Canis lupus familiaris: one gene and its partner. The protein of the gene in region 1 purifies or fractionates together with the protein of each later gene. This does not show direct contact. Links are inferred from orthologs where the notes say so. Each region holds a gene or a part of one and is shown on either strand. Other genes may lie near its edges.

Region 1 (4,249 bases):
CATGCATTCATCCGTCCCTGGGTGCACGTGCACATGTGCACAAGTGCACACGCACATGCGCACACACATGCACAACACATCCAGTGATTCCCAGAGCTCAGAAGGTTACACAGGCCCACGCCTTACTTGGACATGGCGGCGGCAAACTCCTCAGAGTTCTTGGTCTTATGCAGGGAGGGCCTGCCCTTTGGGTTGAAGCCATTCCCCTCCTTCAGGGTACACTGGCTTGTCCTGACGATGAAGTTGCAGAGCTGAGGGACCTCCAGCTCAACCTGGGAAGAGGGTAGCAGTACATGAAGACCGTCCCTCAAGAACAGGAGACCCCTCACAGCCCAAGGCTTACTCCCTAATCAGGACACCAAAGGAAATACAGTTGGGGACCACTGGTTAGACGGAATGCAGTCTAGGAGCTAGAGGAAGAACAACGGGAAGCAGGAAGAAGGCTATCATTGGTTTCAACAGCAAATGTCTCCTTCATGTCACCAAACAACCCAACCAATCCAACTGTCTGTAACTATTGGGGCCTATTCAGAGCTTCATGTATTGCAGGAGCTTATGGAGATCCCTAGTGGTTATCTAACACTGTTCAGGAACTTTCTGCAAAAACTGAAATCTTCTACATTTGCCCTGTCTGATATGAGAGTCATTAGCCATGGGCACTTGAAATGTGGCTGGTATGATCAAGAAGCTGAATTTTAAGTTTTACTCAATTGAAATAGCCACATGTGGTCAATGGCTACCTCATTTAACATAGACTATGGGGCCCTAGAAAGAAGAGGTCAGTTTCCCAGCTTGACTTCTCTTTCCCACATGACCCCCAGTAGTGGCCCTTAGATCCATCCCTTATGAACATGCACGTGAGTACAATCATTCCAGCAATAGATAAAGTTTTATTTGAGAACAAACTACATATTTAAATTTTTCTTTCTTTCTTTTTTTTTCTTCTGTTTGGCTGCAAATATAAACACTGCACCCCAGAATGCTTTCCTGAGATGCCCATCTCCCTTGGCTTACCACCCATTGTGTTTCTCTCATCTTGTTAAATCTACCGTTCTACAATGCTGATATTTTAGATCATGTATTCCAGTTACATCTTGGAAGCTAATGGAAAAATAAATCTGGCTGGCAAAATTTTTTGTAGCAGAAAACTCAGCAGAGTGGCTAACTTTCAAACGTAGGGACAGTTCCTTGCTTTGTGATTATAGCAGTCCTGCTGTGACCTGGGTTTGCAAGGCCAGAAGCCCCAGCTTCCTTTAGTGGCTCTTCCTCTCCCCTCATACCTTGCAGTTGATCCTGGTGGCACTTCTTGAATCAGTGGTCCCAGGGATACTGCTGGAACTCTCAGCCTCATAGTTGTATACATACTTCCTGAGGTGCTTGAAGCGAGTTGCACCTTCTAAAATGGGGACAAATAAGTCAGCTACATAGCAGATAACTCCCCCAAGGATAGTCTATTCTAGGAAGCGAGGGGTAGTGACAAAGACCATAAAAAGTGGTAACTAAACTCCAATTGTTATTGTCATTACTTTAAAAAGATTTTATTTATTCATGAGAGACAGAGAGGCAGAGACATAAGCAGAGGGAGAAGCAGGCTCCCTGCGGGGACCCCGATGTGGGACTCGATCCCAGGACCCCAGGATCACGACCTGAGCTGAAGGCAGATGCTTAACTACTGAGCCACTCAGGTGTCACTCCAATTATTATTTCTAAAAAAAATTTTTTCCCAATTATTTTTAATTGACTTTGCACTATCCTTAATTTCCCTTTACAGATTTAACTTCTCCGCTATGGTTTGTTGAGGATGTTTAAATTTGCCAGTAATTTTTGAATGTATCATGGGGTGCAAGGAGGGGAGTGGTAAACAGTGGAGCCCAGAAAGTCTATGGAGAGACGGTGGATTAACAGTTGGCCTCGTAAAGCAAATACCTCTAACACCTGTTCCGCTCGAAAATACCACGATTCTGTGGCTCCTTTTTTTTTTTTTTTTGGTTCTACCAAATCCCTGAGGCGAGGTTCATTAAGTTTTCGGGGTAGCTGACTGTCTTAAGAAAAATTCCGAGAAGGAATTTCCGGAGTTTCTCACCGTGCTTGAGAATTTGTCGAACAGTTTGAGGAAAAAAAAGAAAAAAAAAAAAAGAACATTTGGGGCCCGAGCACCGGTGCAGTGACGCCAGACGGCCACGCGATGGCAGTGCTGCCCCACCAGAGGCCACGGCCTCCCGCTCTCAGGACACTGGGTACCACCAGACGGCCGGCTCCTTGACCCGTGGAGGTCAGGTAAATACTTAGGAGCGGGGTCTGGATTTGTGCGCAAAGGTTAAAGTCAGCATTTCCTCACCCTCATGTGCTTCGAATCAATGATTAGCCACGGATAAACAGACGGTAACGTGATGTCTCTTTAAAGTGTCCCTGGGCCCACTGGATGACAGTCCCTTCCCTACCCTGCCCCCAGGCCAAGCTCTAGGGACTGAACATTAATGCAGGGAGAAGAGAGTCGAGATCCCCGGGGGGTGGGCAGAGTCTCAGGGGACTGGCCTCTTGGGGCTCAGAGGGGTGCACACTCATCAGACCATCGCGGCGCCCGCGGGCGGGAGGAGGGCGGGGGCCGGGGCCGGGCCGGGCCGGGCCGGGCCGGGCCGGGGCGGGGGCGGGGGCGCCCTCCCAGCGCGGCGGGAAGGGCCTTACTTGCGCAGCCGGGGCTCGCACTCTCCGGCACCTCGTCTTCTGCAAGAAAAGGGGAAAGGGCGCGTGGGCTTCCCGCGTCTCCCCGCGGGCCCAGGGTCTCCCGGGGCGGGGAGGGCGCCGCGGAGGGCGGGCACCTGGCGCTCTGCAGGGAAGGCGGTTCCGGGGGGCCGGGCCGCGGGGCGTCCACCCCCACCCCCCGGGGCTCAGCGCCCCCCCCAGGCTCAGCGCCCCCCAGGCTCAGCCCCCCGCCCCCCGGGCTCAGCGCCCCGCACTCACGAGCCCAGGCGCGGGGGGCGGCCAGCAGCAGAGGCAGCAGCAGCAGCGCGGGCCCGGGCCGGCCCATGCCGACGGGGGGCTCGGGGGGCGCCGGGGGCGCGGGGGCGGCTGGCCGGACGGCTCGCGGGAGGCTCAGGGGCCGCACCCGCAGGCGGCCGCCCCGCACGAGGAGGGAATGCGCCGCCCGCGCCCGCGCCCGCTTTATACCAGGCCGCCCGGGGCGCAGCGCCCGGCTCGGGGCGCGCAGGCCAGTTGCAAAAGGTCCAAAGGGCAGCCGGCTGTTTGCTTTTGCAGCTCGAGGAGGGGCCGGCGAGGGGGCGAGCGCGGGCCGCCAGGCCGTGGGGGCGCCCGGAGCCCCGCCCGCGGAGGCTGGGGCCGGGGGGCCCCCCGAGGTGCCCGCGCACCCCACGGCACCCGCACCGCCGCTCCCCTCCGCCTTTGTAGCCGTTTCCAGAACCGGCCCTTAACAGCCGCTCGGTTGAGACCTTTTCCGTTCTGTTCGGGTCTGGGGGACTGTGGGGTGGGAGGGGCCCCCACCCCTCACCCCTCACCCCTCGCCGGGATGGCGCCCCTGGCCTGGGGTCGCGGCCTGCACGCCCGCCCGCCCGGAGGGAGCAGAGGGGCACTGGCTGGGGGTCCTGGACCAGTCCCAGGCCCGGCCGAGCCGAGCGCCCACATGGTCCACATGGTCCACATGGTCCACATGGTCAGGAAACCCCAGCGAGGTGCCCCTCCCCCGTCATCGTGGGAAACTGGGGAGAGGAGGCCTTTCTCTGCCTGCCCCAGCTCCTGGGTTGCGTCCAGGAACGGGAGGACGGTGGGGGCCGCCGCGTGGTGCATGGACACCTGGACACCGCATGCTCCTCCGCAACAGCCAGGGCCTCCTCCACACTCCACAGACCCCCCCTTCCTCTACGGGGGACATTTGCCAAGCACCCCTCCCCCCCCCAGCTGTGGGGAATCCCGCACAGCGCAGACATTGCAGCTTCATTGACTTTACTGACCCAGTGGCCGTCCAGAGTGTGAGAGATGGGACGGAGCCACATCCGGCACTGGCCTGTCGCCAGGCACCTCCAGTCTGCCTGGTGACAGATGCCATAGACAGGAAGCTGCAGGCAGGCATCGAAGGTAGGCCTCGGGAGTGCTAACGGGGTGAGGTGTTACAGCAACTGCTGGAGAGGTCCAGGGCAGGGGTGGGGTGCGGAGCCCCGAGCAGGGGTGCAGGGCAGGGGCGAGGAGCCCCCAGTGATGAAGAGGGGACGGCGACTACCCGATGTACAAAAACGCC
Region 2 (3,808 bases), on another chromosome or scaffold:
TAGTTTTCCCCAAATGTCATAGTCTTTGTGCTTGGCATTTCTGTGGTATATAGAATGCTCTGGAATTTAGCAGGTTTAGCCAGTAAGGATGGTAGTGCTAATGATTCTACTTCATTGTCCCCAGGCTTGGTGGGACTTGGGGCCTCCCTGAGTCCTACAGGAAGTTGTCTTGCTCACTTCATTCTCCAAGAAGGTTAGCAAAGAAGAGTTTATGCTTTCTTCTGCAGTGGTAATCATTGTGACCATTAATACCATGTGCCAGGCATTGTTGCATTCATTATCTCACTTAAGATAATTCTTTAAGATAGGTACTACTGTATTTGCTTCTTTTCAGATGAGGACATCATCATCCAGAGAAGTTAAGTAACTTGCTCAAGATGACAATTAAACAGTGGCAGGGTTGGGATTCAGACCCAGCAGGTCTGACTGCATAGCCCCTTCTCCTAATCACTGTTTCTTTCATACTAAGATTATTGTCATTTCTCTAATTGTTACTTAGCCTCTACTTTAAAAAAAAAAATTTATTCATGAGGGGCACAGAGAGAGGCAGAGACACAGGCAGAGGGAGAAGCAGGCTCCCTGTGGGGAGCCTGATGCAGGACTCGATCCCAGAACCCCGATCCCAGGACCCCAGGACCATGACTTGAGCTGAAGGCAGATGCTCAACCCCTGAGCCACCTGGGTGTCCTACTCAGCCTCTACCTCTATTTAGTCTTCTCAGGCCATAGTTTCCTGACTCTGGGGCAAGATCACTTGGGGCCTTAACAGCTAGGATACCAGTGCTCAGAATACTAAGAGATGCTGGAATGGGAATTGTATGTGCTAAATGTTACTCTTCGTGACCGTGGCTGAATATCCTTTATCTGACCTCTCTGGCATAGGGACAGCTTCATATATCCACTATTTCTTTCGTAAGTGTGAATTTTAAAGACTGGTGGGGTCCCTGGGACTGGAGTATGTATTGGGACTAAATTCATTTTCTCTTTTTAGTTCAAAAGGTGATGACTTATCAACAGCCATTCTTAAACAGAAGAATCGTCCCAATCGGTTAATTGTCGATGAAGCCATCAATGAGGACAACAGTGTGGTGTCCTTGTCCCAGGTAAGTTGGGTCAAAGGTTCAGTCTTTCCTTATTGCACTTAACCTGAGGACTTTTCCCAGGTTTCTTTCCTCATTTTTTTTTTTTGCAGTGACCACAGATAGAGTGGGGTTTACTGGGAATTCCAGCCTCCAGGGCTGCTGCCTACCCCTTGGCCCAGTGACCCAAAGGCCTTAACCTTCTTTTCTCAGCCCAAGATGGATGAACTGCAGTTGTTCCGAGGTGACACAGTATTGCTGAAAGGAAAGAAGAGGCGGGAAGCTGTGTGCATTGTGCTTTCTGATGACACATGTTCCGATGAGAAGATTCGAATGAATAGAGTTGTTCGGAATAACCTTCGCGTACATCTAGGGGATGTAATCAGGTGTGTGTGGGGTTCTTAGCCCCTCAGGGATGGGAGGCCAGAGACAGCCTGAATTATAGACAGGACTAATGAAGTTCTTGGCAGCTACCCATAGCAGAATCCTTCTAGCCATGGGAAGACTTAATATAGCAGGGCTATCTTTAGGTTTTGATTCTGCCTCCCTGAGACTTCAGAATTTACTTCTGCATGACCCTTGGGACAAGTTGCATTTCTGTGACTTCTGTGATACCTTTACTTATTTTTTTTGCCAGAGGTATGATTTATAACATGCTGAACGCTGGTTTAGGATACCATTTGAGAGTGTCTATGAAACAATCTCACTGTTATGTTGAAATAATGGCTTGTGTTGGGACCAGAATGAGGTAGGAGTGTGGGCATAGAAGGCGAATTTCCGATTAGGGTTTTTTTATGGATCAAAGTTAATATAGAATAGAAGCATAGTTTGAGTCAGACCCTGAATAGCTTCAGCTTCTATCTGAGTGATTTTTTTTTTTTTAAAGATTTTATTCATGAGAGAGAGAGAGAGGCACAGACACAGGCAAAGGGAGAAACATGCTCCATGCAGGGAGCTCGATGTGGGGCTCAATTCTGGGACTCTAGGATCCTGCCCCAGGCAGAAGGCAGGAGCTTAATCACTGGGACACCTAGGGATCCCCAATCTGAGAGATTTTAAACTTAACTTTAGGCAAGAAGCTTTCCCATCTTGGAGTCATCACTAGCCACAGCTATCCAACCCCCTGTCAGGAACATCTGAGACTGGCCAGGAACATCTCAGACTTCTGATTATTTTTAATGGATTCTAGATTTCATGTAGCCTTCTGGAGGTGCTTAATCACGTCAAGTTTCTCTGACCACCTGGCTGAGATGACTTTTTTTTTTTTTTTTTTTTTCAGTTTTATTTTTTTGATCCTGATACTTGTCCCACTACGGCCTCCGTAATTTTGGGTTACTAATATTAGCCAAATGGGTCATCTTTGGATATCTCTCACTGAAGATCCTTGCTCCTATTTCTTCATTTTGGGGGCTTTACATGTGTGGGTCTTCCTTTTGGCTCACTGATTGGGAGTGAGCAGCCCCATTTTAGTTCAACTTTAAATTTACCTAAAAAAAATAAAATTTTAATGTAAATTTGTAGCTTCTTCTAATGGCTCCTACTACTGCCCTTCCCCCAAGTATGACTTGGTCTTAGTTCTGTTTGGCTGCTCTTTTGTCCTCACTCTCACTCTGCCCTCCTTCCTCTCTTCACCTAAAGCCATCCCTACCTTTTTTCTTTTACTTGCCGTCAGCTCTCTGTGCCAGGCACTTTCAGACGCCCAGTGTTTGGGGCTACATTGTGGTTGGTAATGTGGAGTCTGCTTGTCATCCTCAGCATCCAGCCGTGTCCTGATGTGAAGTACGGCAAACGTATCCACGTGCTACCCATCGATGACACGGTGGAAGGCATCACTGGCAATCTCTTCGAGGTATACCTTAAGCCATACTTCCTGGAAGCTTATCGACCCATCCGGAAAGGTGAGAGATAATTCTAAAGACTGAGCTTAAGGATAGTTGTTTGTAGGGATACCTGGGAGTAAATCTTGGAATGTCTTTATCTCATTCTCATATGTGTGCTTACACACACATTCTGCATACACGCTCATGTGTACTCTCCTTCCTTCCTCCTCCTTCCCACTCCTCCATTTCCCTACTATCATTCCCTGCTTCAGTAGAGTAAGCTCTCTTCTCCTTTGTCCCAGAAGGAGGACTTGGGCACTTTTTGGCTGTGTCACAGTCCAAAGTGTATTTAATATTTAGCACAGTCTGATCATCTGTGGTTGTTGTGAAAGCTTGGTTACCTATAGCCCATAAGATTTTGTTCAGTGTCCTCTTGAATGGCAGAGGGACACTTCACAGTTTAGCTTTCTCCTCTTGCCTGATGCTTAATAAGGTAGAGGTGGGAAGGGGAAAGGGGCAGTATCTAGTGAACTTGGCATTTTAGACAACAGGTTCTGGTGAGGAACTCTCACTTGCTCTGGTATTTGACATCTCTGACTGCACTTGTGCTAATTACTCTCACAGGAGACATTTTCCTTGTCCGGGGTGGAATGCGTGCTGTAGAGTTCAAAGTAGTGGAGACAGATCCCAGTCCTTACTGCATTGTTGCCCCAGACACAGTGATCCACTGTGAAGGGGAGCCTATCAAACGAGAGGTGAGTTCTCTCCTTTATCCCAGTACCCAATTTCATGATTACAAAGTGGGGCGGTCATATGGTAACTACTAACTGTGAGTGCTCTTTGGGGGCACCTGGGTGGCTCAGTTGGTTAAGCATCTGACTCTTGATTTCAACTCCGGTCATAATCTCAG

The links.
Region 2: the proteins of APOB (region 1) and VCP purify together in Homo sapiens (affinity purification with western blotting, with the first as the bait; 3 studies listed by BioGRID). This does not show direct contact. The link is inferred for Canis lupus familiaris from reciprocal best matches to the Homo sapiens genes APOB and VCP.

Annotation. Positions count from the first base shown.
Region 1 is NC_049238.1:15,957,575-15,961,823, forward strand, and holds the start of APOB (apolipoprotein B-100), read right to left. Parts: upstream 3,040-4,249; 5' UTR 3,029-3,039; coding exon 2,962-3,028; intron 2,725-2,961; coding exon 2,686-2,724; intron 1,397-2,685; coding exon 1,281-1,396; intron 273-1,280; coding exon 127-272; intron 1-126. UniProt on the Homo sapiens protein: Apolipoprotein B is a major protein constituent of chylomicrons (apo B-48), LDL (apo B-100) and VLDL (apo B-100). Apo B-100 functions as a recognition signal for the cellular binding and internalization of LDL particles by the apoB/E receptor.
Region 2 is NC_049232.1:51,941,494-51,945,301, reverse strand, and holds part of VCP (transitional endoplasmic reticulum ATPase), read left to right. Parts: intron 1-990; coding exon 991-1,102; intron 1,103-1,291; coding exon 1,292-1,464; intron 1,465-2,833; coding exon 2,834-2,976; intron 2,977-3,522; coding exon 3,523-3,653; intron 3,654-3,808. UniProt on the Homo sapiens protein: Necessary for the fragmentation of Golgi stacks during mitosis and for their reassembly after mitosis. Involved in the formation of the transitional endoplasmic reticulum (tER).